4 linked regions of the Rattus norvegicus genome follow. The main gene of each other region encodes a partner of the protein of the gene in region 4 in a complex. Links are inferred from orthologs where the notes say so. Each region holds a gene or a part of one and is shown on either strand. Other genes may lie near its edges.

What was found. Proteins that work in one complex are often made in the same cells at the same time.
Region 1: Exosc8 (region 4) and Exosc6 share a complex: the UniProt entries of both Homo sapiens proteins name them as parts of the RNA exosome core complex. The link is inferred for Rattus norvegicus from reciprocal best matches to the Homo sapiens genes EXOSC8 and EXOSC6.
Region 2: Exosc8 (region 4) and Exosc5 share a complex: the UniProt entries of both Homo sapiens proteins name them as parts of the RNA exosome core complex. The link is inferred for Rattus norvegicus from reciprocal best matches to the Homo sapiens genes EXOSC8 and EXOSC5.
Region 3: Exosc8 (region 4) and Exosc4 share a complex: the UniProt entries of both Homo sapiens proteins name them as parts of the RNA exosome core complex. The link is inferred for Rattus norvegicus from reciprocal best matches to the Homo sapiens genes EXOSC8 and EXOSC4.

Annotation. Positions count from the first base shown.
Region 1 is NC_086037.1:55,927,824-55,935,004, reverse strand, and holds Exosc6 (exosome complex component MTR3), read right to left. Parts: upstream 3,483-7,181; 5' UTR 3,451-3,482; coding exon 2,632-3,450; 3' UTR 2,068-2,631; downstream 1-2,067. Other genes in the region: Hnrnpcl1 (heterogeneous nuclear ribonucleoprotein C-like 1), read left to right, coding at 890-925; Aars1 (alanine--tRNA ligase, cytoplasmic), read right to left, coding at 4,869-5,054, 5,443-5,556, 5,862-5,948, 6,064-6,183, 6,748-6,861. UniProt on the Homo sapiens protein: Non-catalytic component of the RNA exosome complex which has 3'->5' exoribonuclease activity and participates in a multitude of cellular RNA processing and degradation events.
Region 2 is NC_086019.1:90,292,197-90,300,275, reverse strand, and holds the start of Exosc5 (exosome complex component RRP46), read right to left. Parts: upstream 4,368-8,079; 5' UTR 4,285-4,367; coding exon 4,137-4,284; intron 102-4,136; coding exon 1-101. Other genes in the region: Bckdha (2-oxoisovalerate dehydrogenase subunit alpha, mitochondrial), read left to right, coding at 4,780-4,887. UniProt on the Homo sapiens protein: Non-catalytic component of the RNA exosome complex which has 3'->5' exoribonuclease activity and participates in a multitude of cellular RNA processing and degradation events.
Region 3 is NC_086025.1:109,924,809-109,932,857, reverse strand, and holds Exosc4 (exosome complex component RRP41), read right to left. Parts: upstream 4,368-8,049; 5' UTR 4,330-4,367; coding exon 4,159-4,329; intron 2,622-4,158; coding exon 2,415-2,621; intron 2,315-2,414; coding exon 1,955-2,314; 3' UTR 1,625-1,954; downstream 1-1,624. Other genes in the region: Gpaa1 (glycosylphosphatidylinositol anchor attachment 1 protein), read right to left, coding at 151-224. UniProt on the Homo sapiens protein: Non-catalytic component of the RNA exosome complex which has 3'->5' exoribonuclease activity and participates in a multitude of cellular RNA processing and degradation events.
Region 4 is NC_086020.1:141,082,516-141,090,748, forward strand, and holds the start of Exosc8 (exosome complex component RRP43), read right to left. Parts: upstream 4,583-8,233; 5' UTR 4,559-4,582; coding exon 4,542-4,558; intron 3,876-4,541; coding exon 3,839-3,875; intron 3,731-3,838; coding exon 3,667-3,730; intron 3,335-3,666; coding exon 3,261-3,334; intron 2,317-3,260; coding exon 2,271-2,316; intron 1,651-2,270; coding exon 1,545-1,650; intron 1,455-1,544; coding exon 1,409-1,454; intron 625-1,408; coding exon 528-624; intron 439-527; coding exon of another isoform or gene 407-438; exon of another isoform or gene 1-406. Other genes in the region: Alg5 (dolichyl-phosphate beta-glucosyltransferase), read left to right, coding at 5,156-5,221. UniProt on the Homo sapiens protein: Non-catalytic component of the RNA exosome complex which has 3'->5' exoribonuclease activity and participates in a multitude of cellular RNA processing and degradation events.

The DNA of each region.
Region 1 (7,181 bases), on a different chromosome or scaffold from region 4:
GCCTAGGACAGCCACTTCTCCCCTCTCCTCTGCTGTTTAGCCCTTTGCCTCTGGGCTTGGTTGGCTCAGCTATACCAGCAGCTACTGTCAGGTATTTGGACACTTGGGTTAAGTCAGTTCTGGGTTGAAACACCATCTTCTGGAATAGGTATGTTCCATATGCTAAACTTCCCCCTGCTCCCTTTTAAGCTTGTTTAATTAAAATTTGATTTCTTGAACCAGGAGGTGCTCAGGAGCAGAGGCAGGTGAATCTGTGAATTTGAGGCTAGCCTGGTCTACAGAGTTCCAGGACAGTCAGGGCTACACAGAGAAACCCTGTCTCTAAAACAACATCATCATCATCAACAACAACAACAAAAACGAATTTCTTCCCCCTTTCTGGCCTCATCCTTTTGGTTGCCTCCCCAGGGCTGTGGCATGCTATGCTCATGTTCCTAGGCTGAGGCAATCCAAATGTGGACTGACAATGGCCCTTTGTGTAGCAGTAAAGGGCCTGAGGTTTTCTCTGCCCTGTCTCTTCCTCTATCATCAGTGCTTAGCACTTCCCAAGTCTGCTTAGCAAGATCAGAGTTGGTAGTGAATTCCCTCATGATGCCCTGCCTACCCCAGGCTAGGTGAGCTCAGGAGGGTTCCCGCCTACTGCCCCAGTCACAACTGCCCTGAAAACCAATGTGCTACAGGGAGAATGTTTACTCCTGCGGGTGGGTTCTGGGTTTCCAGGCTTCAGGGTTTGCTTAGAATGGACACTTTCCAGCACCCCTCCCATCCCCCAGAGAATCTAGAATAGCTTCTGGCTTCCCAAAACGGGAAGGAGGAGAGCTGGAGGAACTAGATTTTAGCACGTGGCCGTGCCTCTCACCCTCTAAACTAGCCTCTCTGTTTTCCACAGGTGAAGAATCTCGCATCAGACCAGAATAGCCAGTAGGAGGTGGGGAACCTTCCAGACTTTCTTCACTGGTACTCTTGGGTGGCTTGTTTTCTTGCCTTGTATTTTTGGAAGGCCCCCTAGTCACTCCCATGCGACTTGAAGTCACCTTTCTGGAGCTTGGGTATTGAAAGTCTGAAGCACGGTACAGCCAGCCCACCCAGAAAACCTCCCCCTCCCGGTAGTCGTGGGTTTAACTCTCTTTTTCCATGAGTCTTGCTGTGGGCAGGGTAGGGAAGCCACACAGACCAGCAGTGCCTATTTTCATTCAACTGTGGTGGTCTTGCAGGAGGCACACGACAGGGCCCTGAGCCCAAAAGGCACTATTAGCTCTCATGGAATGAAAACTGTCTCTTCCCCACACAACACTAAACCTGATGGTGTGCGCCCACCTAAGCAACCTCTTTTGGTTAAACCCACCATGTGCTCTATGAAGCCATAAGCTATCCTTCAGAATAAAGGAGCATTTATGTCTCTATCTTGAGTCTCACTAGTAAGTATAACACTAATTTTGGATTTGTTCTACAGTCATGTCAGAAGGGGGAAAAAATAAAATATGTATTTCTTCTTCTTGGTCAGGAGTTCTTACTTTGTCCTCATAAACTGAGCAGACCCCTGGAATACTTAATAAGTCTCACAGCTTCCTCCACTTCAGCCTGTGAAGAACAGGATAAGTCCCTATACTGGTCAGTCAGGCCTGCTCTGCCTTAATAGCCAGGCTGTAAATGATACCACAGTATTAGGCGGTCTGCATTTTAGTAGACCATTGCTGCCCAGACCCTTGTTCCCAGGAGCCAAGCCTGGACAGGCACCAGGATGGGACCCGGCTTCTTTCCAGAGCATAATCCTTTTCAGTTACCTAACTCCTAGACATGGTTTTGTCCTAAAGGAAAGGACAGGGGTGCATCCAGGCTTCTCCTTTGAACTCTCCCCAGACTTTTCCAGACGGGAGTTTCTCTGTGTAGCTCTGGCTGTCCTGAAATCTGCTCAGTCTTATCCCCTCGGCAGCTGCCCTAGACAATGCTCCCGGGGCAGCTGGTTTCTCCTCCAAAGCACATAACCCTTTCTTTCTTACAGCGGGCTAACAGGAATACTTAAGGCAGTAATGACTTGGACCCTTGACAACACACAATCAACACACACCCATTTCTGAACAGCATTGTTTTTAACTCAAGAAAAATCACAACACATGTTATTTCCAGGCATAAAAATGTTTTTATGTTTTACTTCGAGTAGTGAGAAGGCAAAGTCCCCTTGTCCATCCTCTCAAAAGAAAAGAATTGGGGTTGGGGATTTAGCTCAGTGGTAGAGTGCTTGCCTAGCAAGCGCAAGGCCCTGGGTTCGGTCCCCAACTCAGAAAAAAAAAAAAAAAAAAAAAAAAGAATTATATTGGAGCTGCCGGCTGGCCTGCACAGGGTCCATCCCTTACAAGGCCATAGCCCCAGGTCTCATTTACTAAGTAAATCCAGCCCAAGTCCTTTCCAACTTAGGAATATGGCTGCTTTCAAATTTCTCCAACTGGATCGTGTTTCCAACGGCCTTTTAAACTTCTTTCCAACGCAGCTGTGCAGAGCTTTGGTTCTGTGCGCACCACTCCCCCACTCTCCTGTCTCAGCTCAGCGAAATCGGGCAACCATCAGCGCTGGTCCTTTTGGGAGAAAAGGGCGATAGCAGTCCTCCGCATCCTCGTCGCTCAAGTTTTCCAATCAGGGCGGGGCGGCGGCACCCCTCCGGCGGGCAGCCCTCACCAAGCACTGCTGCAACACCGGGTAGAGGCGCTGGCAGCCTTCCAGGCCCAGGCGCACCGCATCGGTCCAACTCTCAGTCTGGCCGCCTTCCCCACTGCCCAATAACCCGGCCACCTGATTGAGCACGGGCATGAGCGCCACCGTGAGGCCGGCCTCAGAATGCTCCTCCTCCAGTCGCGTGGGGTCCAGCAGCCAAGTCGGGGAGGGCCCCGGTGTGAGGCTCAAGCCGCAGCCCACTACCAGATCGTACATCTCCACTCCCGCGTCGGCCAGGGCGAGCGCAGCAGCGGTGAGGGCCGCGGCCAGCGCAGAGCCGCCGTCCTCCAGCAGCAGCGCGGACACCTCGAGTTGAGCACGAGGGTAGCGTCCTAAGCGCACAGCGGGCTCCAGAGCCTCCTGCAGAGCCAGACCCAGCTCACGATCCTCGCTGCTGCCCTGGGGCGCGCGACGCCGGCGACCGGAGAAGGGCGCGCGACGGAAATCGCAGAGCAAGCGACCCCGGAGAGCAGCCGGAGCTTCACCGCCCGCTCCGGCGGGACCGCCGCCGCGCTCACCGCCCTCGGCCTGCCGCGGACCGGACACGGCGCACAGCACCTTGGTACCTCCCGCTTCCAGGTAGGCTGAGCCCTTAGCCTGGCTCAGCAGCCCTGCGCGGGCGTACACCGGTCGTAGGCGCGTCGGGTCGCGAGCAGCGGGCGTCTCGTCTTCTTCGGCCGCGTACAGCTGCGGCGGCTGGGACTCCTCTGGCCCTCGGATGCGGCGGTGGTCTCCCGGCATGGCGGCTACCGGCGTACGAGCTACTTCCGCCTGCCAGGATGCCTTGCGCACCGGCTCTTCCGCTCGCTTAAAGATACGCGCCCGCGCGGAGCCTATCGGGAGAGCGGTAGGTTTCCGCATTGCCACCTAGCGGAATGGAGGAAGAACGGCGAGGTATTGGCTGGACCTGTGGTTCCATAGGACCTGATCTACTGTCATTCCTTGAATTTTGCATTCAGATTGTTTTATATAAGCTTGCCCTAGGTAAGAACTTTTTGTTCGGGCTGAAGAGATGGCTCAGCGGTTAAGAGCACTGACTGCTCTTCCAGAGGTCCTGAGTTCAATTCAGCAACCACATGGTGGCTCACAACCATCTGTAATGAGATCTGATGCCCTCTTCTGTGTGTCTGAGTACAGGATACTCATGTACATGAAATAAATAAATTAATTAAAAAAAAAAAAGAACTTTTTGTTCATTCCTGTAGTTAGTCCCCTGGCTTGCTTCAACACTTGTTTAATAAATGGACGTTATCTCTCTTCCTACAACTGAATAATAATTCTAACACTCTGAGATCTGTCATAAGCAAGCAGTATCTCAGCTTCCAGACCCTGCTGTTTGTAGATTCATATAAATTGCATTTTAGGGCCGAGCCAGGGTCTTGAACCTATTTCAGGTTAAAGAAGCAGGGATGGGGCAGTTACTAGAAGACATCTCTACATTCATACCTCCTACATTAGTTGTCTGACCTCATATCAGCAGCTTCAAGGGGAGGCACGTTGAACACACATGATGAAAGCCATTATGAGGTTGTCCCAAGAGACTAAGAATGGTGCTTCTTCATGTGAAGCAATTCAGAAGAATTTTCCTCCACCCCTTTTACTGAATGCCTCAATTTCAGCCCACCCATTCTGCCTCTAGCTCTGCTCTCCCAGGGGCCGTTCCTCAAGTTCAGGAGTCTGAGGCTGTACTCTGTGATAACATCAATCAGAAACCAGCCAGAACCACACACAGCCTGTATTCTGCATGTATAGGGAGCTGAGGTCAACCTCAGGAGAAAGGAGAGCGTGGTATCATCTAGTATTGCACATGGTCCTTTATTTTCTGCAGTGGAAGGCTTCCTTCCCACTTGCAGACCTAGAAGCCTCAGGTTGGCAGAGTGACCTCATCTAGACGTGATCAGGATGTTAGGTAGCATTCCTGGGTAGTGACTTTAGACAGATGGCGCTGACATTATGGCTCAGAGCAGAATGGAAAGGGGCAATGAATCACAGGACAGCTCCAGGCGCGTTCCAGTTACTGCTGGATCAGGACGGAGGGCTGCTGAAAGGTCCCAAGACTCAAATGTCTTCGTGGCAGGAGGAGAGCTCCTGGCTAGACTCCTGCACCTGAACATGACTGGTTGTCGGGGAGATGCTTTCCTGAGAGGGCTTCCCTCCCATCAGTTCTTTACATCTCCGAGACGGAGCTGGGCAAAGGAAGTAGCCAGCTGCAGTGCTTCCTGAAGGCAGCCCACGTTCTTGCCTGTGGCCTGGGCAGACATGTCCTTCCCACCACCTTTACCATCCATCAGGCCTGAAACCTGCTGGACCCACTCGCTGGCTTTTAGCCCCCGGTTGGCTGCATTCTAGAAGACAGAAAGGGAAAATGGTAGTCAGCATAGAAGATGGGACTGAGGTGGGGAATGGCAGGAGCCCCCAACACCCATTTGTGTCATGGGTGAAGCTACCACAGGCCAAGACTAACTCTATAGCGGTTACAGGAGAGCAGCTATGGCCAGTGCCAAGGTGAGGACAAAAAGCTAAGCCAGTAGTGAATACTGTCACCCAAAAGAAAGCCTAAGAGGTAAAAGGCACCAAGGGGGTGTGTGTGTGTGACAAACGACAGATCAACTGTTTCTAATCAGGACTGCATGCACACAAACACAGTCTTCTCCTTGAGAAGCTAAACATAGTGTTTCCCACGGCCTACGGGTTTGCAGACTGATTTGGACTGAGGCTGTAGGAAGTTCTGACCTGAGGAACCTGACACAAGCATGTGATCTTGCCAGCCTCATTGTCTACTGTGAAGAGCATTGCAGATGTCTGAGGAGAATGTGTCTTGAAAAGCTTCAAAGCTTCATTCAGGGCCTGAGGGGAGAATCTTGTGTTAGGTCACAGCACTGGGGCAGGGAGCCCTGCCTTCTAAAGGGAGTCTGTGGAACTCAGCCCTCAGAGCACCATCCCATTTCCTAAGAGCAGACCCTGTTCCCAGGAGCCCGTGCAAAGACCCTGGCTCCTAAGCATAGGAAGCTCCTCCCTCTCAGGCCACCAGACCTCTCCATGGCTCAGCCGTGGGCCTCAGGTGACCACAAACTCAAAATTAAAGGGCTGGCAAGGCTGGAAGGACAAACACCCCCCAGCTGACGTAGGGCCCTGGCCCTCTCCCTGCTTGCCTTGGCCGATGCACCGCTCTCCATCTCCAGGATGACCAGAGGCTGGTTGGGGTTGCTGTCAATCAGCTGCTTAGTCTTCTCTAACACCTACAAGAAGCCCAGGAGAAAGGCTTAGGCCAAGGGCCCAGACTCTCAACCCTGTCAGCCTCTCTCTAGAAAACCTGTGGGCTCTCTTACAGCTGCCAGCACTACCAAGACTCACTCGCTTCTGGACATCGGCTTTGCTGGCCCGGTCTAGGTCATCCATGACTTTCTTCAGGGATTTCAAAGTCTCCCGTTGTTCATCTTTCTGCCACTGGGGAATGACTGCAGTGGCCAGGACCTGGAACCAAAGCAGAAGACCATCTGGGGTCTGGGCCAATAGGAGGTAGAGTGAAACTCAAGCCCACTCTGCCACACCCTCTGTCTCTGAACCAAAGTCTTCCATGGCCAGAGCTTGAGAAAACAGGAAACCACCAAGATATCTGCTGGCTTTAAGACTAGTCACTATATTAACGCAGCAGCCATCACTGGACAGAAAGTAGCGTGATAAAGGGGGCTTCCATTGAGACCTGGTCCTAACCAGCTGTGAATAGAGCCTGCAAAGACTTGCAGGGAGCCCAGCATACCAAGAAATTCCAGGGGTTCCAGGTTAGTATGGATACATGATATCCTTCCCCAGCCCCCAGCATGTGGCTCAGGTTTGCAGGGACATGCTGAGGCCAGAGGTCAGCTGTAAATCTGAGGGCAGCCTGAGCTGTAGAGTGCCTTTCAGGCTAGTCCTGGCTACAGAATAGGACCCCGTCTTTAAAAAGCACAACAAATAAAGGAACAAAAAGTTTAAGCACAGGGAGGGTCTTACTCCTTGGTTGGATATAAGGAACAAACAGAGGGAGGCCATCCCTACCTCACCAAGGTCAGCAATTTCCTTCTGCACATCCTTGTTGGGTGCAGACTGGGCCTTCACTTTGACCTCCATGGCCGAGAGAGATTTCTTCAAGGTTTCTGACTTCCTGAGGGCCTAGGAAGAGAAAGATCAGAGCTATAAACATGAGGATTCCTTTCCTTCAGGAAGCAAGGGCTCTGGGCACACACACGTGGGCAGCAAAGGCTGCACCTAATTCCTGTTCAAAGCTAGTTCATGCTCATGACCCGGAAGCCCTTCCACCTGGGGAAATGACCTTTCCTCAGAATCTACCACAAAGCTGAACGGCTCTCCTTGGTGCCACGTTCCTCACAGTGTCCACCCCTGGGATATGTGGAGGGAAGGGCATATGAAGCAGGAGGATACTCAGGCTTGCCCTCACACACAGACCTGGGCTAGGAGGAAGGCGCAGGATT
Region 2 (8,079 bases), on a different chromosome or scaffold from region 4:
CTTCGGCCTCAGGATCACTTCAAGGGTGGCTTTGTTGAAGATTTCTTTGCTGACCTTCACCTCGGCCGGCCCGTAGACTCCAGCCAGGACAGAGGTATCACCTGGGGGAACACGAGGGAGGCCTTGGTTACTCTGTGCCACCCTGAGCACTTCTTTCCTCTGCTCTCTCATTTTTAGGCGGGGATCACCCACCACTTGAGCAGGGGCACTGTCTTCCTCGGGGCATTTCTTTTTTTTTTTTTAAGGAGCTGGGGACCGAACCCAGGGCCTTGAGCTTGCTAGGCAAGCGTTCTACCACTGAGCTAAATCCCCAACCCCCCCTCAGGGCATTTCTGTGCCGATCAGGTGACTGGGTCTCACAGCAGCAGGAGGCCATGTGTCTCAGCATCGCACAAGAAGATGAAATAAACACGGACTTTAAAGAGAAGCAGTTCCCTTCAAACATGCAGGACACTGGTCAGCAGGGGCAGAGCTTACTGCGGACCTCAGCCATGGTGAATTGTTAGAGACAGTTGGGGCCGCAGGGATGGCTGGGTGGTGGTGGTGTGTCAACATGCACGCCGCTCTCCCAGAGGACTAGAAATGAGTTCCCAGCACCCCCATCAGGCAGCTTACAACCACCACATCACCCAGCTCCGAGAGATCGACACCCTCTTCTGCCCTTCATGGGCACTGGCACACACATGGCTCTCACCCCCGAAGTACATACACATCCCAGTGTTTGGGAGACAGACAGGAGGATCAGGAAATCAAGATCATCCTTGGTTCCGAGCTAAGTTTGAGGCCACCCTGAGCTACATGAGACCATCTCATAAGCCAACCAAACAAATCCCTTATTAGATATAATTAAAATATATTAGTAAAAGCATTTTAAAAGGACAAATGAACAAAAAAAGATTGTGATGTGTAGGGGGGGGTCTTAATTTCTGCATATTTTCCCAGAGTGGTTACAAATGGGTCTGGAGAGTAAAAAGTCTGGCTTCTGGTCCCGTCCGGGTCTTACTGGCCCTTGTGTGAGGAGTTTGTTAATGTCTGCAGGCTTCAGAGAGGCTCCCTACGACAGGAAGGCATTGCACTGCACAGCAGTCTCCACGTTTCTGACATAACTCCCGCTTTACAGCACAGCTGCACACTGATAAAATGTATGTGTACAGTGGATCACAGGTTGGGGCTGGAGAGATGGCTCGCAACCATTTGTAACTACATTTTTGGGAAGTTCACACTCTTCTGTCCTGCTCGGGCACTGGGGACATCCATAGGAAATCAATCATTTAAAAGTTGAGGGCTCAGGGATGTCACTCTGTGGTGGGGCATTCATGCTAAATCCAAAGCAGAAAATAGGATGACAAACCTACACGGGCAGCTTCCGGGGCTCTGTAGGTTTCCACTGGACTTTTTTTTCTTCCTTCCTTCCCCCGCCCCTTAAAAGATTTATTTATTTTATTTATATGAGTACACTGTGGCTGTCTCCAGACACACCAGAAGAGGGCATCGGATCCCATTACAGGTGGTTGGTTGCTGGGATTTGAACTGAGGACCTCTGGAGGAGCAGTCAGTGCTCTTAACCACTGGGCCATCTCTCCAGCCCTCCATTGGACTTTCTGCAGTCAGGTTCTGTGTGGTCAAGGCTGGCCTCGCCCATGCTGTGCAGCTGAGTGACCCTGGCACGAGCTGCTCCTCCTGCCTTTATTTATCTCCCTGCTGCTAGGATTAGGGGTTCAGTACCATCGGTTTTGTTTTTGTTGGGTTTTTTTCTTTTTATCAATTTTGCTTGTAAGGTAAGACACTGTGCTGGCTAGTTACTTCCTTTGCTTTGCATTTGGTAAACTCAGCACGAGTTAGCCATACCTGGAAAGAGGAAACTCAACTGAGGCAACTGAGGGACTGCCTCCATCAGAAGGGTCTGTAGGCAAGTCTGCAGGGGAATTCACACACTCCCGGACCCAAGGCATTTCACTGATTAACAACTGATATGGAAGGGTCCCACTCGCTGTGGGCGGCGCTGCTGTTGGGCAGGTGGTCCTGGGTTATAAATGAAAACAGGCTGAGCAAGCCATGAAAGGCAAGGGCTCCTCCATGGTTCAGTTCCTGCTTCAATGGACTTGGGGTATGTAGGCCAAACAAACCTTTTCCTCCACAGGTTGCTTCTGGTCATGGTCCTTATTAGAGCAAGAGGAGCCTAATGAGGTCAGCTATGAAGTAATAGGGTTAGTGTGTCATTTATCACATATACCCATCATTTGCACTGCTCACTGATGCCACGCCCCCTCCCATAGGGTGTTCTTGCAGGAGCCTTTGAGGTCAGATGTGTCTGCAACATTTTTTTAAAAAGATTTATTTATTTATTATATATAAGTACACTGTCGCTGTCTTCAGACACACCAGAAGAGGACATCAAATCCCATTACAGATGGTTGTGAGCCACCATGTGGTTGCTGGGAATTGAACTCAGGACCTCTGGAAGAGCAGTCAGTGCTCTTAACCACTGAGCCATCTCTCCAGCCCCATCTGCAACATTCTTTTTGAAAGTCTGCAAGGTCTCCAATTTGCACCAGGGCCCCGTGGTTTAGAGTTTTAGAACATGGAAGGGTTCCCATTCTATTTCTTATATCTCGAGAGACAGGAGACGCTGAGTTTAGCAAGTGAGCAAAACCAGGAGCCAGCCTGGGATGAGAACACTATTACATCTGCGGGTGCTTTTCCAAGGAAACCCAATGGGACAGGGTCTTAGCGCCAACATCTGCCCTGAAACCAGAAGTGACCCAACTAGACTCAGGTGCTTACTAGAGCTACACAGTAGCTGTTCCTGTTCTGCTGTATAAACTGTGCTCTCGGCAAGCAAAATAGTCTCTTCTTTCCCACCATCTCTACAACGGGGCTACAGAAATTCTCCCCTTTTCAGTCCCTAGGATTTATTTTATTTTTAATTATGTGCATGCATGCTTGTGCAAGCCCCCCCTCTCTTTCTCTGTGTGTGTGTGTGTGTGTGTGTGTGTGTGTGTGTGTGTGTGTGTGTCCCTGCATGCAGAGGCTTCTAATCCCCTAGCTCCTGAGTTACAAGTGCTTGACAGCCTCCTGAATAGATGTTGGGAACTGAACTTTGTCCTCTTCAAGAGCCACAAGTGTTCTTAACCACCAAACCATCTCTCCAGTTCCCGGTTGTCTCCCTTTTTTTTTCTCCCCAAGACAGGGTTTCCTGGAACTCCTCTCCACAAACCAGGCTGGCCTCGAACTCATAGAGACCCTGCCTCTGTTTCCCAAGTGTTGTGACTAAAGGTGTTATTTCTTTTCTTAAGCTCCTGTCAGTCTTCAACTCTTGTCCCATCTACCAGATCCCTTCCCAGGAAAATGCCTGAACAGTTGTCTTAACTGTCCTTTCTTGCTCTCTCTGACCCACCACTACCCCACACTAACTTACTAGCCATAAAGTGATCAGCTCTTAATATCTCAAACACAACTCCCCATTGTCAACTCCATCTTTGTCCTCTTCATTTGTCTACTCTGGTAGTTTTTTACCCTCCCATGACCTCTCAAAGTTGGTTGGCTGGACTGGGATACAGGGTTATGTGGGCCTCAGCCTCGAGATCTCTCTTTTCTTTCTATTCATTTACCCTGATGAGACGTGTATACCAAGGAAAGGCATGTTTTCTCAAATGATGGGACCAGAGAAGGGGAGCTACTTGTTAGCCCAGGATGGGAGGATCACGTTCAATTTTCAGAGCATTTACTTAGGTATATCACCTGCCACAGTAATTATATTTAAACCAGTAGTGGTGATGTGTCTGTCTCAAAGGGTATTTATGCAAATAAACACCTTAGCCTCAACCGATGATGTATGGATCCAGAAGTGTTTTTTAAGAAATCTAGTCAAGGATAATATTTGCCTTGGTGAAACACCTATTCTGGAATATTCACTCTTAGGAGAGGGGTCTTGCCCTGGATTTCTTCCAAGAGGTATTGACCAGCCTGGCCAAATCATTTCTTCTCGAGTCGGGAGGTGGGTATACGCAATATCTAGAAATAAATTCTCCAAGGAGGTGGGCGTACTTGGTTGCACACTACACAGTAACCGCTCTTCAAAAACCCTTCTTCGGTGAGGATGGCGCGCGCTGAGTTAAACCTTGTTAAAGTCGTACCTTGCAGAAAAGAAGCAGATCCATCCGGCCGGGACAGCAGGTTTTGCTCACAAGCAAAGTGCCGGAGGCTGCAGACTGGACTTCGAGGGCTGGACTCTGTTCCGGTGTCAGTGAGTACCTTGGCGTCTGCACGCTTTGCTCCCTCCATAGCCGCTGACCACGCGCGCTGGGGCTCCTACCGTAGCTTCCGCTCAGCCGCACGCGCAGTTCTACCGGCCGTGTACCTACCGCGCAAGCGCCAATCTAGGGCACTCCCGAAGTGGCCCTAGCACGTGGCTCGGCGTTTACTAACAATCTGGTCCTGCCCACCTCCACCTCCCAATTCTGGCAAAGCCATTGGAGAATAGGGAATAAGGGGCAGGACTTGGACTAGGCCCATTTTGCCCAAGGCCCCGGGCCCTGAACCCTGGAGGTTCAAGTGAGGTTGTCCTTTTTATTGCCTGATATTGGAACAACTCCAAGCAGACGACTGGAGCAATTTTAAAGAATAAAAATGGTCAACTTACTTATTTCTACGTCTTTGTTGCTAGGCGGTTGGAAGAAAATAGTGCGTTGGCCTAGTGGTGCTGAGATTTGAATAAGGCATCTGATGGGACAGACGCATGTCTATCTCCTGAGAAAGGAGGAGTGGTTACTAGCCAAGATGGCGGTAGCGATGTCCGCGGCCAAGATCTGGAGGCCGAGCCGTGGCCTGCGCCAGGCTGCCCTCTTGCTGTTGGGGCGACCTGGGGCTCGGGGCTTGGCTAGATTCGTGAGTACCTGGCCCCCACAGTGTCTTTCTTGGGGAGAAATAGAGACGTAACTGTTATTGTTACAGTGTGCGTGGGGCACCGCGGGCTGTGAAGGAAGAGCAGATTCAGAAAGAAAAGGACCGGGAAACTTTTTGAAGAGAAATTCAAGGGAAGGCTCCCTTTAGAGCAAAAGCAAGGCAGCTACTTGCGGGCTTCGATGGAAGGAGACGAGTAAGGGATGAGACGGGGGTTGAAAGGACAGATCAGGTTTTCATAGGGTTCTACATTACTTAAATTCCAATTGTAAAGGGAGTCGAGCAAGAAACTCGTTTGTTTCCTATGTCCCCTGACCAAAATTCAAGGCGAGGGACTTTTCCATGACTGTCATTTACAGAAGATGATCATGAAGGGAGACAGAGCGAGAAGTTCAAACAGGACCCTTTGCCCACGTTATTTTTTTTTTTGAGACAGGATCTCACCCACTCATCTGGGATGGCCTTTAGCTCACCCAGATGCTTAGATAGGTATCCGAACTGGAGATAGTCCTGTCCCAGTCTCCCAAGTCCTGATATTACAGATGTGCGCTACGGTGCTTGGCTGCCCACTTTTCTTGAAAACACTCGAGAAAACTCGGAATCTCTTTTGATCTATTGTTGATAAGGGCAGGATAACACTTCCAAATGCTGTTGCGATCTGGCGATGTACCACAGTGCAGAATGCTTGCCTCACACTTGCCACGTCCAGAATTTGGCTCCTAGCCCCGCGCTTTTTGTTTATCTGGATATGGCGACATGTGTCTGTAATTTCAGCGCTTGGGAGGTGGAAGGCAAGGAATTTGAGGCCAGTTTGAGCTGCATGAGACCCTCTCTCAAAAAAAAAAAAAAACCCGAAAAGATTTTTAAAAATGCTTTCCTTATTTTTTATTTCATGTGCATTGTTGTTTGGTCTGAATGAAGGTGTTGGATCCCATAGAACTTGAGTTAAATACAGACAGTTTTGGGCTGCCATATGGGTGCTGGAAATTAAACCCAGTTCCTCTAGAAGAATAACCAGTGCTCTTAGTCATCACTGAGCCATCTCCCCAGTCCCCTCAAAAAGATTTTTTAAAAAAGTCTAAGGCCTGGTGTGGTGATGTGTGCTTCTGATTCCAGGCAGAGGCAGGCAGATTTCTGAGCTCCAGGCCAGCCAGAGCTTCATCGTGAGACTGTCTTTTTTTTTCCATTAATTTATTTTTTCACTCCACACTCTGAATATCGGCACCCCCTCTCCTCCCAGCTACCCCCACAGCTCCTCTCGTTCCCTTCCACCACTTCTCCTTCGAAAAGTGGGGAGCTCCTCTCACCTCCCCAGCATATCAGGTCACTGCAGTACCATGCACCAAGGCCAGACAAGGTGGTCCAGCCAGGAGTAAGGAATCCGCAGTCAGGCAACAGGTTCAGAGGCAGTTGTTGGGGGTCCCACATGAAGACCAAGCACCACACAAGTGTGTGTGGGCCCAGGTCCAGCCCATGCTCATTCTTTAGTTGGTGGTTTAGTCTCTGAGAGCCCCCAAGGGTCCAGGTTAATTGACTGTGGTCTTCGTGTGGAGGCTCCATCCTCCTCCGGGGCCCCCAGTCCTTCCCCCAACTCCTCCACAAGACTACCCAGGTTCAGGTTAATGTTTGGCTCGGGGGAGGGGGTGTGTCTCTGAATCTGTTTCTATCTGCTGCTGGGTTGAGCTTCTCAGAGGTCAGTTAGGCTGCATTCCTGTCTGCAAGTATTAACAGCATCAGGGATTGGTTCCATGGGATGGGTCCCGACCTGGGCCAGTCATTGGTCAGTCACTCCCTCTGTCTGTGCTCCATCCATGTCCCTGCACATCTTGTAGGCAGGACATATTCTGGGTCAAAGGTTCTGTGGGTGGGTCCCTCCACTTGGAGTCTTGCCTGGCTACAGGCAGTGTCCATTTCAGGTGCCATATTCCCCACCGCTGGGAGTCTCAGCTAGAGTCGTCCCTATCAGCTCCTTGGGGCCTCCCCATCCCTCCCAGGACTCTGGCACATCGAGAGACAACTCAACCCCCCACACCCCCCTCTGTACTTGTTCCCCTCTGTGAATTACAGGCCAGCCTTGTCTGTAGAGTTTCAGGATAGCCAGAGCTATATAGCAAGATCGTCCCTTACAAAAGAAAAATTTTGTCGGCAATGCCTGGTTAGAGGGTTTTGACATAAATTCCCAGTGGAATCAGGTCTGGTTAAGTGGCTGGAGTCTAGAGCTGTACCACGTGATTTGGCCTCTCTGCTCTGCCACTTGCCAGTTGTGTAGCCTTGGGCAAGCAACCACCTACAGCTCAAGGCTCTCCATACACTGCCAGTGGTGGGCATGTCATAGGGCTGCTGTGGAGATGCCAGCTTGAGGGCAGTGCAAATTGGGCCCAGCACAGAAGGGCAGTGGGAATGCCTGCCTTATGTTAGGGGTGAGGGCCGAGACCACAGAGATTGGGAGAGAAAAAGGGTGACCTGGGCGAAGCATCTCCATCTTTTATGAGGCTGTGTTTGCTCCTCTGTGTATTTCATAGGACAGAGAAGATAGATAGAAGCTCTGGGGTGAAGAGAAGGGGACAAACAGGTGAGCTGGATGAGGAAGGTTGTCAGTTGAAGCCAGCAAATACAGAAAGGTTGCTGGAGCTGGTGGGGGAGGGGCAGGCTCCTGCCTGCGTGCTGTTCTCCTTGGCTTTTTTTTTTTTTTTTTTTTTTTGGCAATCAAATCCTTCACAGCTGACTTCAGTCCCTGGACTCATTGGCTGAGCAGGTAGGCTGAGCTTCCAGCAGAAGTGAGGTACCCCAGGGAAAGGTCATTGTGGCTGATTAAATCTGTTTTCCTGCTGGCGCAGTCTTCTGTTATTGTTTATTGTCCCCGGATTTCTTTACTTATTTGAGAGGACATTTGGAGGAACAGCAGGAGGGAGCAGTCTGTATCTTTCATTATATATTTCATTGTATATTTAACTTTTTCCATTTCCCCCCACTTTTTGGCAGTGTCTTCTGTAGCTCAGGCTGGCCTCCCACCTCACCGTAAAGCTGAGGATGACCTTGAACCCCTGCTCTTCCTGCCTCCACGTCAGTGTTAGGATTAGAATTGTGCACCACTATGACTGCTTTTTTCCCCATTAATTTATTTATGTATTCACTTTACATCCCAATATCTGCCTCCTCCCAGTGCCCCCTCCCTCA
Region 3 (8,049 bases), on a different chromosome or scaffold from region 4:
CGTTATATTAGGAATGGATAGGGATCAGAGCTCCAAGCTCAGTGCCTGAGTGACATTTGCAAGGAGGGCGCAGATCCTGGAGCAGTAGGCGCGAGTGGAACTACAGCAGTTCATGTTCCCGCGAGTCCCGCCCCCTATACCCGCCCTCACCATAGAGGAGTGTTGAGGCGCAAGACGATGCGGGCGAGCGCGCGCCGGCGCACCGGGTCCGACAGGAGACCCATGGCGGGGCGCGGGGCTCAGCTCTCGCCGCAGCTTGACACCTCCAAGCGCAGGGTTCCTGTCAGACCCGGCGCCCCGTGCTGCCTTTATTTCCGGTCCCAGGATCCGTCGCGCCACTACGCTTGGTAGCGTAGGGGCAGATGTCGTTGGAAACCACATTCTGCGCATGCTCAGTATTGCAGTAGGCTGGAGAAATACAGGATGCTGTCACGGCCAGTGGGCGGAACTGGAACCTGAGGTTGTGAAGCTGCGGGCAAACAGCTGGAAGGGCAAGACACTGGCCGAACTCAAGACAGAACAGCAATAGCGTGCCTGCCTAAAGGTTCTTCTCGGGAGTGTGTGACACAGGTGGGTACGGAGCTGGAACAGCGAAAAGACTGTTGCCTGCTGAAGTGAGATATTGAATGACTGTTATAGCTATGACTTAAGGGCCCCCATGTGAACTGAGGATCCGTTGTTGAATCATTTCTATGGATGTCATGAACCTTAAGTCAGTGGGCTGACTAGCACAGTGGGCGAGTTGGTGGCCAGAGGAGAGGGGTAGTGGTGGGTCAGAGGAGTTTTTCTAAGAGGGTCCAGAGGTAAGGGTCTAAGAATAAATGGCCAAGGGGCTGGGTGATTTAGCTCAGTGGTAGAGCGCTTACCTAGGAAGCGCAAGGCCCTGGGTTCGGTCCCCAGCTCCGAAAAAAAGAACCAAAAAAAAAAAAAAAAAAAAAAAAAGAATAAATGGCCAAGAGGCAACAAAGGTTTGATATCCTTCTAGAGCCCAAAGAGGCAAGAAAGGCCCAAGGAAAAACATTAATCCAGTGGTTCTTAACATTCTACTTTTAATAGAGTTTCTCATGTTGTGGTGAACCCCAACCATAAAATTATTTTGCTGATACTCCATAACTAATTTTGCTGTTATGTCATAGTGTAAATATCGGATTTGCAGGATATCGGATAGGAGACCTCAAAGGGGTTGTGACCCACAAGTTGAGAACCATTGCATTAGTCTAACCTTACATCTCTTGATGAGCACACATAGCCACCTCAGCCTTGCACTCATGTCTCTGAAGAGTTGTGTAAGCAAGGCACATTCCTTAGTCTGAGGGCATGAGTGAGGAACACAAGTGATGGGAGAAAGCGGACTCCATTTTGAGCCTGCTTGTCCCTTGTTTGAACTGCGATTAATAGAAATATCATAAACAATCCAGGAAGAAACTGCCCTGGGCTAGAGCCAATCAGAGAAATAGAGGGAAAGTGTCTAAAATTCCAAAGGTTACAGATAAATTGCTCATCATTGACCAATCCTTGTGCACCAAGATACCCCTTGCCAAATAAGGCAACTGACAGGCTGGAGACCCCCTCCCTGCTCAACCCTTGCTAAGTAAGGCAATCGCTATGCTGGAGACCCCCGTTCCCTGCTCAAACTAGTATAAAAACCTTGCCTAAATGAGGTTCAAGGTCTCAGCACAAATCTGATGCTTGGAGGATTCTGAGGGTCCAAGCTTAAGTGTGAATAAAGGCTTTGCTTTTGCATACAAATCCAGACCCCTGGTGGTCTTTGTGGACCCTGATATCTGGGCAGGCACAGCATGAGCACTCTTGCTCTTCCTAGCACAAGTGTTCTCTCCACTTAGGGACTGCAGTACAAACTGCTATGTAGGGCCCTGAGCTGCTTTGAAGTGCTGTACATTACAGTGTGTTCAGGAGAGGAACAGGCCTTTATTCTGGATATGGGGGGTTGGCCTCAGTCCCCCAGTAAGATAGAGGCCTCCTGCACATGCTGCCGGACAACACGATCCAGCAGAGTGTGCACATCCCGGGCTGCCTGGGCAGCAGCCTCGAGCACCTGCTCCAAGTGGTCTTCATGCAACCTCGAATCCATCTCAAGCAGTGCAATCTGGCCAGAGGCTGGCAGCAGGGCCAGGGCTAGCTGGGGCCCGCCAGCTGCTTCCTCCACGTGACTGAGGTCCGCTAGTGCTGTGCCATCCACAAAACCAGCCGAACATGCACACACAAAGTCCCGCATGGGTATCCCAGCATCCATCACTGCTAGCGTGGCTGCATTCACACATGCTGCATAGGTCCCACCGTCTGCTTGTAGCACCTGCAGGGGGCATCAGGACATCAGACATCTCATCCTCCAGCATCTCAGGCAGACCTCATCCCCTTAAGCCCCGCCCCCGGGGGAGTGGTTTGAGGCTCACCTGCACATAAATGTCTATCTGAGAACGTGGGTGCAGCTGTGTGAGGATAGCTGCCTCGAAGGTCTGGCGTAGCTGCAGCCCCATCTCACAAGACTTCCGGTCTCCATGAGGCCTTCGCTTGCGCTCACCTGTGCTGAAGGTTGCTGAACTGTACTGACAGTTCACTAGAGCCCGGTCAGGCAGAGCCCGTGACCGGGAGCCCCGGATCTGGAGGAAAAAAGAAGGAATGAGCCAGGGCCGCCTACCTCCTGGGTCACACTCGATGGCTCAGCCTTCCTCCTCTTCTTTCTAAAGTGCTTCAGAAAGCAGCAGCTACTTTGGTTCCAAACCATGGCAGGCGGTTTAGGGCTACACTTCGGTCTAAGCCGCACCACTGTCACCTTCCGCAAAAAAAACCCCTTTGTTCTTTAGTTGCTCCATTTCTTCCTAAATCATTCCCATCGTGGTCACCATGTTTACAAACATGTGATTTGACTGTGTCACCCACACACTAATATTTTACTTACCTTCCAGAAGCTTCTCATTACATGTAAAAGAAAATCTCAATTTCCCCGACCTTCAAAGCCCTGGGTCCTCATCTCCTTGGTTAACCACTCAACTTTATTTGATCTACTGTCCCTCGGTCTACCAGTAGTCTGGCCTAATGTGTTCTAGACCTGACCTGGCTTCCACCTAGAAAGCTGAGCAAATTGCTAGCAAACCTTAAAATGTGGGCTCATTGGTTAAGAGCACTGACTGCTCTTCCAGAGGTCCTGAGTTCAAATCCCAGCGACCACATGGTGGCTCACAACCATCTGTAATGGGATCTGATGCCATTCTGGTGTGTCTAAAAGACAGTGACAGTGTACTTATATATAATAAACAAATAACAAACAAACAAAAAAACCCTTAAAATGTGCATGTTTGCCGGCCTTGCTACACCACTGAGACAAAGCAGCAAAGGCAGGCAATTTATAATGTCTCTGTCTTGGGAGTTTACATTCCAGTAGAGAGACAAGAGACATGGAAGACTGAGGAAAATCGATGTAGCAGGGGCAGAAATAGCCTGGGAGGCCTTTTCCGGACAAGATGTCAAAACACTGGACTGAAAGAACAGGGACTGAGTGTAGCTTTGCCAGGATGTATGAGGCACCTCAGAGATGAAGAGGGCAGCCCAGGAGAAAAGAGGCCCACTGAGACGGAGGAGTTAAGCAGTAAGACTCATGTCCACTCCCACGATGTGCAGCCATGAGCCCCCAGTCCCTGCATGAGACAATCATAGTAGTTGTGGACAATCTGAAGCAGCCCCATATCCCACCCGTGGGATTAAAACAAAAACATAATCACATAACATAACTGGGTTCTTAAAGAAACCAATATTCTCAGTTCATCATGGGACCTAATACTTATACAAATTTGAGGGCCATGTTAGGGATGCAATTCCCCGAGAGGACTCAGAACTCGGGGTATAATTATATTCATGGCTTAGTGGATGTAACACAAAGGAAGGATTGAAATGGAAGTTAACCAAGGGAAAGAGCTCGTGAGGTGAAATCAGAAGAAGCCAGGTCCTCGCAGATGCACGCACATCATTTCCCCTACAACACGGTGGGACAACGTGTGTTGAGATGCTTTCTGCCAGGGAGGACCCCAGAAATTCAAAGATGGGATTTTAGTATACTGCTGCATAGGTAGAGGAGTTAAGCTGTAAGGTCTACTTCCTCGTCGTGCGGCCACGAGCCCCCAATCCCTGCCGCTTACTCGCCTCGTGAGGCCCGTAGACCACCGCCAGTGCCTTGGTGTTGCCCTGCTCGATATAAGCCGAGCCATCGGCCTGCGCAAACACGCCCATCCGCGCCTGAATCTTGCGCAGCTCCCCCGCGCGGCGACCGTCTATCCGGTAACCCTGATCGGACAGGAGCTCCAGCCCGGCCATGTTGCGCAGTCCTCGCTCCGCCTCCGAGAGCACGACCCCTTAGATGACCTGGGCTTCCGCGACTACGACTTCCGCCGGTCCGTTTCCTTTTCAGTCTCGGAGAGCTATAACTTCCGGTAAACTAGTCCCTTTCCGGTGCAAGGCTCGTAGCTTCCCCGGCCTGCTGAATGTACGAGTCACGTCGTTCGGTTCCGGGAAATCAAAGGCCCGAGCCGAGCTGGTTTTTGCAGCTTCTCCTCGGTTGTTGAAGTAGGTACGCCTTGAAGACAAACTTCTCTTTCCGGACGTCCTCGGTTTGTCGGAGGCGCTGGTCCCAGCGGAGACTATTTTTTTTTGGCCCTTTAAAAAACTGTATATCTATTTTTATTGTACGAATGTATTGAACAAGCATACCTGCTTGTATGTCTTTTCGTCACGTGTGTGCTCAGTGCTGCGGAGGTTAGAAGGGGGCAGCCACTGTGAGTGCTGGAATCTGGTCCTTCTCTTTTTTTCGTCTTTCGTCCGTGTGGTTTTTACAGTGGTCAGTTTAGCCAAGCACAATTTTTTGTTCCACATACACGTGATTATTATCTTTGTGGCTCAGTATTAGTTTAGTTTTTCTTTTTTCTTTTTCATTTGCTTGGTTAAATCCATAAGTTTCCCTCCCTTACCTTGGCCAGTAAGTTTTCTCTATAGCCTGGATGCAAGCACAAAGCGCCTGCGGTTGTCTATATGCACCTGTATAGTAGGTTTTGGAGTTCTGATTATTTTTAAAGATTCGGTCACTTAGTATACATTTGGGAGTGTTTTCACTCAGAATATGAAATACATAGTCCTGAGATTTTGTTGTGTTTGTTGGTGATGGGCCCTTTTTTGCTGTTGTTTGGTTTGCTTGTTTTTGGAGACAGGGTTTCTTTTTGTAGCCTTTGTTGTCCTGGAACTCCTTCTGTAAACCATGCTGGCCTTGAGATCACAGATCTGCCTATCTCTGCCCAGAGTGCTGGGATCTGAGGCATGTGCGATATCACCTGGTTGCTGTTGCTTTTTGAAAATCTTGATATGTATTTCAGGTTGGCCTCAAACTAGCAATCTTCCTACCAGAGCCTCCCTAGTGCTCTTATAATGATTATAGGTGGGACCGTGACACCTAGCTTGGAGGTATATTTTTATTGTTTGCTTCATACCTGTGGGGTAGATAGAGCAGATTATAGTCCCACTGAGTCCTCTTTAACAACCCTGTGTATTGTAGGAGCAGATAATTAAGGAATGCTATTCATTGTGGAGGGCTTGTGAGTCTTGATTCTGAGTATGTTGTCTTATTTTCTCACCCAGAATAAATAATTTTGTGGTGGTTTGTTTGTGGTGTTTTTTTTTTTTTGTTTTTTTGTTTTTTTTGTTCTTTTTTTCGGAGCTGGGGACTGAACCCAGGGCCTTGCGCTTCCTAGGCAAGCGCTCTACCACTGAGCTAAATCCCCAACCCTTGTGGTGTGTTTTAAAATAAGATCTTACTATGCAGCCTCAGTGTAGCGGGTCTTAGCTACTTTGTGGGTTCTTTTCCCAGTCGTTTATCCCTCCCGGTTTTACCTCCTGTCACTAGATAGGAGAGGAAGGGACAGGAAGGAGGAGGGTGTGGGAGATCTTTGAATCTAGTTTCTTCCTTTCAGTTTCTTCTTTGAGTACAACTACCAACAAGCAGCAGCCACCCCCGTCGATTGGAGCTTTCGCATTTTTATACTCTCTGAAAAGTTCCCAGAATTCCAAAGTCACACAATCACAGAAACTATCTGCAGCTGGCAAAACCACGCCTCCGCAGAGCACCAGGCAAATCACAGTCAGCTGCTGTGGACAGTCTGAAGCAGCCCCACATCCCACACCTGGGGTTAAAAAGAAAACAAACGCTTATATTTCTGTGTTTTTAAACCAACATTTCAGAATTCTCATTACACCCCAGCTGGCGTAGAACTCTCAGAGATTCTCCTGCGTCTGGGTGCTTAGTATTCCACTGACAGTTTAAAAAAAAAAGTTAGCTATTCGTGCTAGTGGTTGCAGGTGGAGGTCTGAAGGCACCTTGTCAGTCCTTTCACACCATCTTTATGTGGGTCCTGGAACTTAGGTTGCCAGGCTTGGCGGCTAGTGCCTTTACCAGCTTGATGATCTTGCTGACCTTCTGTTGTTGTCATTGATAAAAGATAACACAGATTCGCAGAGAGGACACTGAGACGGAATTGCTCTCCAATGAGCTTCATGAGGAGAGTTACAGCACCATTGTCACAGACGGCAGTGAGGAGGCCCCTATGGAGGAGACTATTCAGAAGCGTTGGCTCTGGAGAGATGAGTGTGACATAGAACATGACAGGTGTCCTGAAGGGAAGGGACATTCCGTTCTGAAGGATTAGGAGAGTTAGAACATCACACCAGCCAACTGAGGTGGCTCAAGCCTTTAATCCTAGCACTTGGAAAGTGGGAGCAGGCTGATCTCTGAGTTCAAGGCCAGCCTGCTCTACAGAGAGTTCCAGGACACCCAGGGCTATGCAGAGAAACATTGTCTCAAAACAAACAAACAAACAAATAAAAACACCAGGACCCATATGTGGAGAGAACTCCTCCTTCTCCTCTTCTTCCTCTTCATCATCATCATCATCATCACAGAAGTTGTGGTCTAATGATCTCTATGCCTACACTGTGGCAGGCACACCCCCATTTCCCCGGATAAATAAAATGTAAAAAGAAAAAAGTCTAGAAGTAACTCAAAGCTGTCTTATGTCTTGGAAGGACATAGCAGCTTTTTATCAACTCTCTGTCCCTAAAGACTCTAGGGAACTGGAGCATGTAGAGGGACTGTCACCTACCAGTTATGTTACTCCTGCATTTCTAGCTCGGTGTATTCCAGTCTCTCACCTCAGTCCAGTACAATAGAAAGGAAAAGAGGGATACCCTCATCCCTGCCCCAGCACCTCTCCCTGTGTTTGTTTCTTAGTGATCATTGTTCTTAGCAAGGAGCTCACCCTTTTCCCCTGCCACCCCTCCCCCACCACCCAGCCCATTTAGTGCATAAGAAAATGTATGTCTATCCAACGATAAGAGTTAAAGCAGTGAGCTTAGTGTATAGAATACCGAGAGGAGAGGATGGGTGGGTCCCAAGGATCTCAACACACACACGCGCACACACACACACACACACACACACACACACACACACACACCCAGTACGGGGGGTGCATAGATCCCCCCACAAGTCCATGAGAGGACTGTCAACATTTAACCTCAAGAAGCAGGTAGGCTGGACGTACTGTGTTGGGCTGGACAAATGGTCTACCACGAAGATCCCAATCCTAGCACTCTCAACATCCCCCCTCACAGAGGTGGTATTTTCATGACAGCTGGACACCAGTTAGTAAGAGAGCCAGGCCCTGCTGATGCAGCTTGGGTGAGCCATCCTCCGTGCTGGACCCTCAGCAGCTGCTTCAATGTGGAGCAGGTCTTTCTACCAGGGTAGCCTGAGCCCCTGCCATCCTTGTTAGGTTGGGGTTGTTTATCTTGAGTATTGCTTATTTTACGAAATTGCCTCAGCCATTTAGGATAGCCAGAATAAAGCTGGTCTTCAGCCTGAGGAAGGAAGTTGGTGGCCACTGCAGCCTCCAGCTCCACAGAGTCTTCACCATGCCTCCTAATAAAAGTGTCCTTGGGCTGGAGAGATGGCTCAGCAGTTAAGAGCACTGACTGCTCTTCCAGAGGTCCTGA
Region 4 (8,233 bases):
AAGCACCACTATCAGAGGCGATATCTGTGGCCAGTCTGCATGAACCACCTGGATTACAGTCAAAGTACTATCGAGTTAGTGGATTCTGGGAAGGACTCCTGCCCCAGTGACTACTGGGGCAGAGAGTCAATCTAGGAGGCTATAGATCTAAAAGAATATAAAACCCAGAAGTACATTTTTAGAAAACCCTGTAGAGCTGACTAACTTGGGAAAATAACCTGGGCAAGGCAGTTCATGCTTAGCCTCCCAAATGCTGGTAATATTGTTGAGACAGAAGGATCAAAAGTTCAAGGGCGCCCTGGGCTATGGCATACTCTGTCTCACAATTCAAATATCGTGAATGATACAAGACGTCCATAAAAACCTTTAAATTCTACCATGTTGGACCACACAGCCACTTCCGAGTTCACTCCAGCTCCCAGACAGGATGGCACACACCTGTAACCCCAGCATTTGGGAGGGGAAGAGTAGGTAAGGACCAGCTGGACTCTATTTGTAGGAAAATAGTCTTTATTAAGGTTGCTTACCATTCTTTAAAGCTGCTAACAAAGCAAATGTGCAGGCATCCAAAATGTTCCCATCGTAGTCTAGGCAAATAAGGTCACAGTATAGAACCCAAGCAAGCTAAAATAATTGACACAGAAGAAATTAGACCTGATAACACCATAGTGCTTTTTCCTCAATTAATTGAAGAATTACAGAACCATTGGTTAGAGAAAACTAGTCTTGAAAGTCTAAGATCTCTTTTTTTCCTTAAACCTTTAAGTAGGAAGTCAAAGTGGTCAGGTCAGGTTAGGAAAGCTGGGCTGTGACTAGCAAATCTACAAGAGACAGACCTGACTACACCCCTGAATAGAGCCAGAGGTGCAAAGAGGAAGTTTTATTCTTGCTGCTATGTTAACTATAATATCTGCTCCCTACTGTGTAACAAAGATTTTATAGTAATAGCCCTATAAATCTGCAAGGGAAACCAATGTAGGAACATACTATGTGCTATCCATAAATATCAGCGTAAGCAAAACCTGATCTGCTGTAAAGGATAAAAGCATTTTTTTTTTTTTTTAACTAGCAACAGAGGGGTGGGGGCGGGAGAGGGAGAGAAAGAAAACTTAGCTCCCCAGACATGCTATCTGATAACTGGACAGGATGGCACACACCTGTAATCCCAGCATTTGGGAGGCTGGGAAGGAGGAGGTAAAAGACCAGCTGGGTACACAGTGTGACTATCTCATTAAACTAAATAAAACCCAGCTGGAAAAGATTTATGACACAATTGTTAATTTAGACCAATACAGAGTAAAATGAACTTCTACAGAATTCCTTCTAAACTCTAAAATCTCAGGGTTTAAGGTTGATTAATTCCCACAACCACATTAGACCACACAGCCACTTGAGAATCTGTTCTTACCTTCCCTGGAGAAATGCATAAGTCCTCTTTCTTAATTATCTGTGAGCTTGATTTAATGATAAAGAACACAATAAATGTGAAGGCAAAACACACATGATAACGAACGGTGGTTAAACTTTTATCCTAACAGTCTTACTTCTCAATGACATCTGCAATGAACTGGCTGGTTACTTGAGCCTCTTCTCCAGGAGGTCCAGTCCGAAACCTCGATGAACACAGCGGTGGTAGGTCCACATTAGGGACTGAAAGAGACACTGCAGCTGTGAACTCAACTTTACCCACAGCTGGGGCAACTGGTAAAGGAACTGCTTCACAGTACAGGGGATTAGCCACGGGTAGACTCTTCAGGTGTTAAACATGGCAGTGTTAGAATTAGTCTTCTCAGATTGCCAAGCTCAGAGGAAAATATTACACTTAATGTTTTGCACAGTGCTTAAAAACAACCACAGGCTTCATAGTTTCTTGAGTTTCTTCCCTCAGATACCTCAGTCTGTAGTAGGAAAGTCCTCTGCTCACATCCAACTATTAAAGATTTAAATGTTGCTTCCCACTTTATGGAAAAGATAATCCAAGACCAAAAATATTGTCCAGTACTTTAAATAGAGTGCAGGCAGGATTTTAATCTGCAATGATGCTTCCTTGAATTAGGGCAACCGAGTATGTAAATAAAAACTGTCCACACAGGGTTGGAAGTGAAGTTCATGTGATGTCCCCTCTGCTATCTTCTCATAAGCACAAAGCTTTGTGGGTGAGGGGTGGGGGCGTTCTATTTCTGAGCACTGGGAACTGCTATCTATTTCATCACAAGTTAGCTTTCAACTTACTCGATTATTTGTTAAAATTTTAAGACTATTTAACTCACCGACATATCCTCTATCAGGGGCATCTACTGGTGGTGCTGCAAATTCCTACAAAAGCAAATAATATATTCCAGTGAGAGAAGCCACTCAACACGATGATATTCTGGCCATTCACAGAGGCTGTACCAAAGACCACTTCAGCCAGTTAGATTACGTTGAGCATCTGGCAGGGGCCCTAAGGATGCTGGCACTGCCTTCCCAATGGCTCCCAGGGGGGTTAAAGGACAGTATAATCAAACTCTGCTGCTCATCAACCAGGATCGGTGGGATTATGCCCACTCTTTGTGACTTGTTCAGCAGCTGAAATCTGAATTTAATCCCCAAGTGATACACAACCAGGCCAGGGAGTTAGTAGTGGCCAGAAGTGAGGAATATAGCAATAACTAGCCCAGTGCCTGCAGATCCACACAACAGACTGAGAGACTGGGCGAGTTACTTATCTTTCATATTTCTCTGCTGACACACGGACAGATAAGCAGTACCTGCCTACTCCCAGGGGCGCCCAAGTGAGACAGTGCCAGTAAGTCTCAGATAGAAACCTGGCAAAGAGTATGAGCTCTGATCCTTATCACTTCAGCTTAACCACAAACCTAAACGAGGAGAGTTGCTCAGGGTAACATGAGAAAGCGCAGCTTTTGTCATTAGACTCTGCCTACCTTCTACGTAGGGGCAGAGATTGGTAAATCTGTAGAACACCTAAAAAGGTCAGCAGACACTCACTACTCCTGTGTGACTGACGATTAAAATCTATCAGTGGCTAAATGGGATCACAAAACAATCTCAATTTCAAAAACAACATTGCCAAAATCTTCAGTATGCAGTAGTGAGGATTCAGGTTTGATTATTTGCCTTATAAAGAATTAATGATGCGCACATGTTTAAAAAAACAAACTTGATGGAATATCATTCTAAATATCAGCCCGATTAAGAGCCACTCCTAAGCATGAGGCTAATTTGGAATTCCGACGCTTACAGCCATACAGGAAACCTACTGCTTTAACTCCACAAATGACTGTGGTGTTCCCCAGCTTCACTAGAGCAGAGCCATCCGCTGTACTGATCGAACCTGGAAAGGTAAACACCATATTTATTTAAGAAAAAAAAAAAGAATTAAAGAAAAAAAAGAAGAAAATAAGCACAAAGCCTCCTACAAAGTAGTTTAAATCTTTCAGTTGTCTCGACAAGTTCAGGCCGTATTACTACTTAACGTTCTTAATTTTTCCCTTCTGTCTCCAAATCTGAACTAACGTTTGGATCAACTACAAGGTTGGTGTGATGATAAAAATCTCTTAACACCAAATGTCTTAGACATAGCAGAGCTGGCGGGAAACTATTTGGCACCAAGGATAAATAAAGGTGGGGGCTGTCCCACCCAACTGAAATGAAGCTTATCCTCACCTATGTTGACAGTTGTGGTTCTGAATTCACCAAGTTCTCTTCCATCTGGACGGCAGTTTTCTTTCTAAATGTTTATAAGGAAGCAGATTATTTATGTATTATATAATACATAAATATATTTCTTAGGCTGCAGAAAACACATGCTCTAAAGTACGAAATCACCTCTACTCACCAGAAATCTCCTGTAATACTCCAGCGGTTCCACAGTTCTGAAACATGTTTAAAATGTGTCTGAGTCAGTGCATCCTAAAGCGTAAACCCAGAATTTAAGAGTGTGGTGGTTGAGACACCAATCCCGACAAGTTCGGGCTTTTGAAACTGTGTTAACCATATTTACAAAAGCCATATAGTAGCAACCAGTTTTCAGCGGCGACCTTAACTGTGCCAAAAGGAATGGAGGCCCTTGGCACACTTAGAAGAGGGTTATCCTGGGTGTCAGTCACATCACGTTTGCTCTGAAGCGGGGAACTTAGCGTGACTTCACTCCGTAAGCCGCATTTGCCAGTGTCTACAAATTTACCACGGAAGAGTGTATTTTTACAATTACTGGAGCTCCGTTTGTCCACATCAACTACACGCGGCCAAAAGTTACAGCAGGTATAAGTGCACGCACTCGCAGACACGAGTTTAAGGTTTGCACGAGTGGGCGGGCAGCTTTGGGTCTAATCAGAGCGCCCCCAAAGGTTTCAGTCCCTTCCGAAGGCGGCACTGCGTTGAGAGCGGCGTTGCGCTCGGTTAAGAGGTCAGGGTCGTCCTGGATGTGCTGTCCCTCAGCGCCTCAATGGGCAGAGCCCTCCCGCAGCCCTCAGGATTCCCAGTCCGCCAACACGCGCAACACCCGCACCAGGGCCTCTTTTGCGCGCGCTACCACTCACTTGAACCCGGCCGCCATTTTTCCTGCTCGCACTGCGCCTGCGCAGCCCTCTGCGCCTGCGCCCTCCCCTTGGTAGGCGTGGCTCCAGCCCAGAGCACTGTTTGGAATCCTGGGTTAAACAAGTGCTGCCGGAGGCTGCTGTTCTCCGGCGCACGGGGCATCAACACCAGCTCCTGCCACCCGGAGCGTCCCGCTCGTACCTAGTTAGAATCAGGCCTGTGGGGAAGAGCCGGGGTCGATACTGTTCACAACCGCCTGCAACGCCAACCCCCGGGGTCCCACGCCCGGGTCCCCACGGGCGTGCGCGCTCGTGCACAAACATCCTTACACACACGCAGACGCGCGAAATGGAAAGGGGTGACTCTAAAACACTCCACGGCGCCGGGCATCCTTAGATGGCAGCACTGCGCGGCGTGTGGGTGAGGCCCGTAGCTTCGTCAGTTCGCACAGATCTAGTGCTTTCCTCCCCACACTCGGGGACCGGTCTGCAATCCTCAGCGGAGCCGCGCGGGGGCGCTGCGGGCGGCGGGCGCGGGCCAGTCCGGCCTCTCCTGCGGGTCGGGATGGGGCGGGGCGCTGCGCCGCACGCCGCTTCCGCAAGTGTGGAGCTGCGGGATGGCTTCGCTGCTACTGCAGCTGGTGGGGCTCGGCGTGGCGCTGGCGGCTGCCGCGCTCATTCTGGTGAGACCGTGGTGGAGTCCCGTGCTCCGGGTGTCCCCTCCGCGCTTCCCTCTCGTGCTTGGCCCCCTTGGCCTCAGATTCCCTGAAATCCTTGAACCTTTATTTCCCCCTTTGGAACCTTATCTGGGTGCCCAGAGCCTCTGCCCAGCTTCTCGGGGCTCCTGCCACCGAACCCCCGCCTGTCACATCCCACCACACTCCCCAGCCTTATTCTTGGGCCTCCCGTACGTACTGCAACTGGAAAGAGAGCAGTAGATCTATAAGGCTAGAGACAGAGACTATGGGTGAACAAAAGACAGGCCCAGATCCCTTTCTATTAATTTTGGCCAGTTGTTGGTTTTTGTTTCTGTTGTTTGTTTGTTTGTTTGTTTCTCCAGAATCAGGCACCTTAGCGTTTTCTTTGCCATTCCTATAGAAACGTAGCAGATCCCACCCCGTTGATTTGTAGAAGAGGACTTACTTGCCAACTGAACTCTGCCACATAGTTTGAAAAGGAGCCTGTAACTCAGAAAGCTGATTTTGAAAAACTTTCTTGTATTGGGACTAGATGGCTAGACAGGTGGTCAGGAAGGCCTCTGCCACTTTGCCATATTATGTACACGCACAGTCTTGGAATGGTGTAGCCAGATGACTGTTGCTGTGTGTCTGGGTGAGTCAAACGCCCTCCTTTACTAAAATACCTTCTTTAAAGGCTTGGAACAAATCAGAACTTTGTTGGCAACGTCCAGGTCATGGCAACCTTACGTTGAATCCCTTATCAGATTTAGATGACTACATGCACCTGAGGTTGTGTGGACTGTACTAGATCCCACTGGCTTGAGCTTGGAGAGGTATCCTTTAATTTACTACTTGCTGTGCAGTGCGTTGCACCTTGAAACCTGCTTTCTAGCCACCTGCTGGCATTCTTTCCACCGTGTCCCACTTTTTAAAATAATTTAAAAACAATTCCAAATAGTATTTCGTGTCTAAATCATCTGCATTTATTTCTATCAGAACCTCCTTTTTAAACTACTGCAATATGGTGATTCCAACTGCCTTTAAAACCTGTTATTTCTGTGGTTCCAATTACCCTGTCAGTTTAAATACTCTCGAGTTTGCCGGAATGGATTTCACAGCGACCTTCCACATCCTCTTTAACTTGTCCTCCAAATTTCTTGTGGCATCTGGAGATTTAAGTGCACGTGTGTGACTTTTTGATGGACTTTGGGGTGTTTTGGTTTTTTTAAATGAAAAGTCCTCAGGTACCCAGTCACCTGAAACAGCAGAAGTACAGGTTTTTAAGATGATGAGATGTTTCCCTGACATCGTAAAAGGGTGGCCAGCTTTCATTTTTTTTGCAATGTTACAGACTTACATTTTTCTGTTTTCATTCATTACAGTGATTCCTTTTTTGATGCTGCAGTTTCTTTCTCATAGGTGGAAAAGCACCTTCAGGTGACCCACACACACACACCTGTCCCCTTTGATGCAGCCCTTGTGGGTACAGATGGACTTTGCTTTCTGTATGATATGCTGTGTTGACGTACGCCTTCCCACCCCAGATCTGGATTAATTGTTTTCTTTTTTTTTTAAGATTTATTCATTTATTATATATAAGTACACTGCATCTGTCTTCAGACACACCAGAAGAGGGCATCGGATCTCTTTACAGATGGTTGTGAGCCACCACGTGGTTGCTGGGAATTGAACTCAGGACCTCTGGAAGAACAGTCAGTGCTCTTAACCGCTGAGCCATCTCTGCAGCCCGATTAATTGTTTTCTTAGAAGTGTTGATTGCTGTCTGGAAAACTGAATTCAGAAATCACAATCTGGACAGTAGAGAACACCTCCAGACCACCTTTTTATTTTTATTATTTTTTTAAGTGTGTGTGTGTGTGTACGCACATGAGATCAGAATCTGGAGACATGGCCGGAGAGATGGCTCAGTGGTTAAGAGCCCTGACTGCTCTTCCAAAGGTTCTGAGTTCAAATCCCAGCAATCACATGGTGGCTCACAACCATCTGTAATGGGACCTGATGCCCTCTCCTGGTGTGAGACAGTCACAATGTGCTCAGAATCTGGAGACATTGGGTTTCCTGGAGCTGCACTTTCAAACAGAGTTGTGAGCTGATAGTTTGGGTACAGAGAGCTGAAGCGGGTCCTCTGCTAGAGCAGCTATTGCTCTCAACCACTGAGCCTTCATAGTCTTTCATTTCCGGTGTGGCTGCTGTCGTGCTCCCCCGTACACACATAAAGAGAGTCATCAAAGCACTACGAGTAGAATTACACACCTGTATAGCTCATTTTGAAACAAAGTTGACCAATGAAAATGGTGACATAAATTATGGCTTATTTCCAAAGCCAGCTTCCCAAGTGCATGGAAAAGGCACCCATGAATTTGTTTCTTAGTATTTATTTTTATTTTTCTGGGCATGAGTGATGTATGTATGTATATGCAATGTGTGCATGTCTCGAGTGCCCAGAGGCCAGAAAAGGGTGCCAGATTCCTTGCCACCCGGGTTATGGATGGTTGTGAGCAGCCATGTGGTGCTGGGAACCAAACCTGAGTCTGCTGTAAGAACAGCCAGTGCTGTTAACAGCTGACCTGTCTCTCCAGCCCCAGGAGCCTACAAGTCTTATATGTTACTCAGAAGATGCTGTGTTCTCAATTCAAATTAAGGAAAAGAATCGGAATACATTTCTTAAGCATTATGGTTGCTGCTGTGGGTTGAGTCCTTCCATGGTACAGCTGCCATATAGATTTGTCCTCTCACATACATGCCCCAGGCAGGTAGTGGTACCTTGTTCATTTGTAAGGGTCGGCTGACTCTTAGATCTGGCATAGCAGAGACCCAAGGAGTGGAAAGTGGAAGCAAGGCCTCCTGAAACATTTAGGGAGTCACCAGCGGGGACAAGGACAGTCATCAGTCAGTCTATGAGGGGCTGTCTGCCAGGTAGCAGCAGAATCACCTCCAGAGCTGTAAAAGAACCAGACCTGAGACTATATATTCCCCTGCCCCAAATTCTGCAAA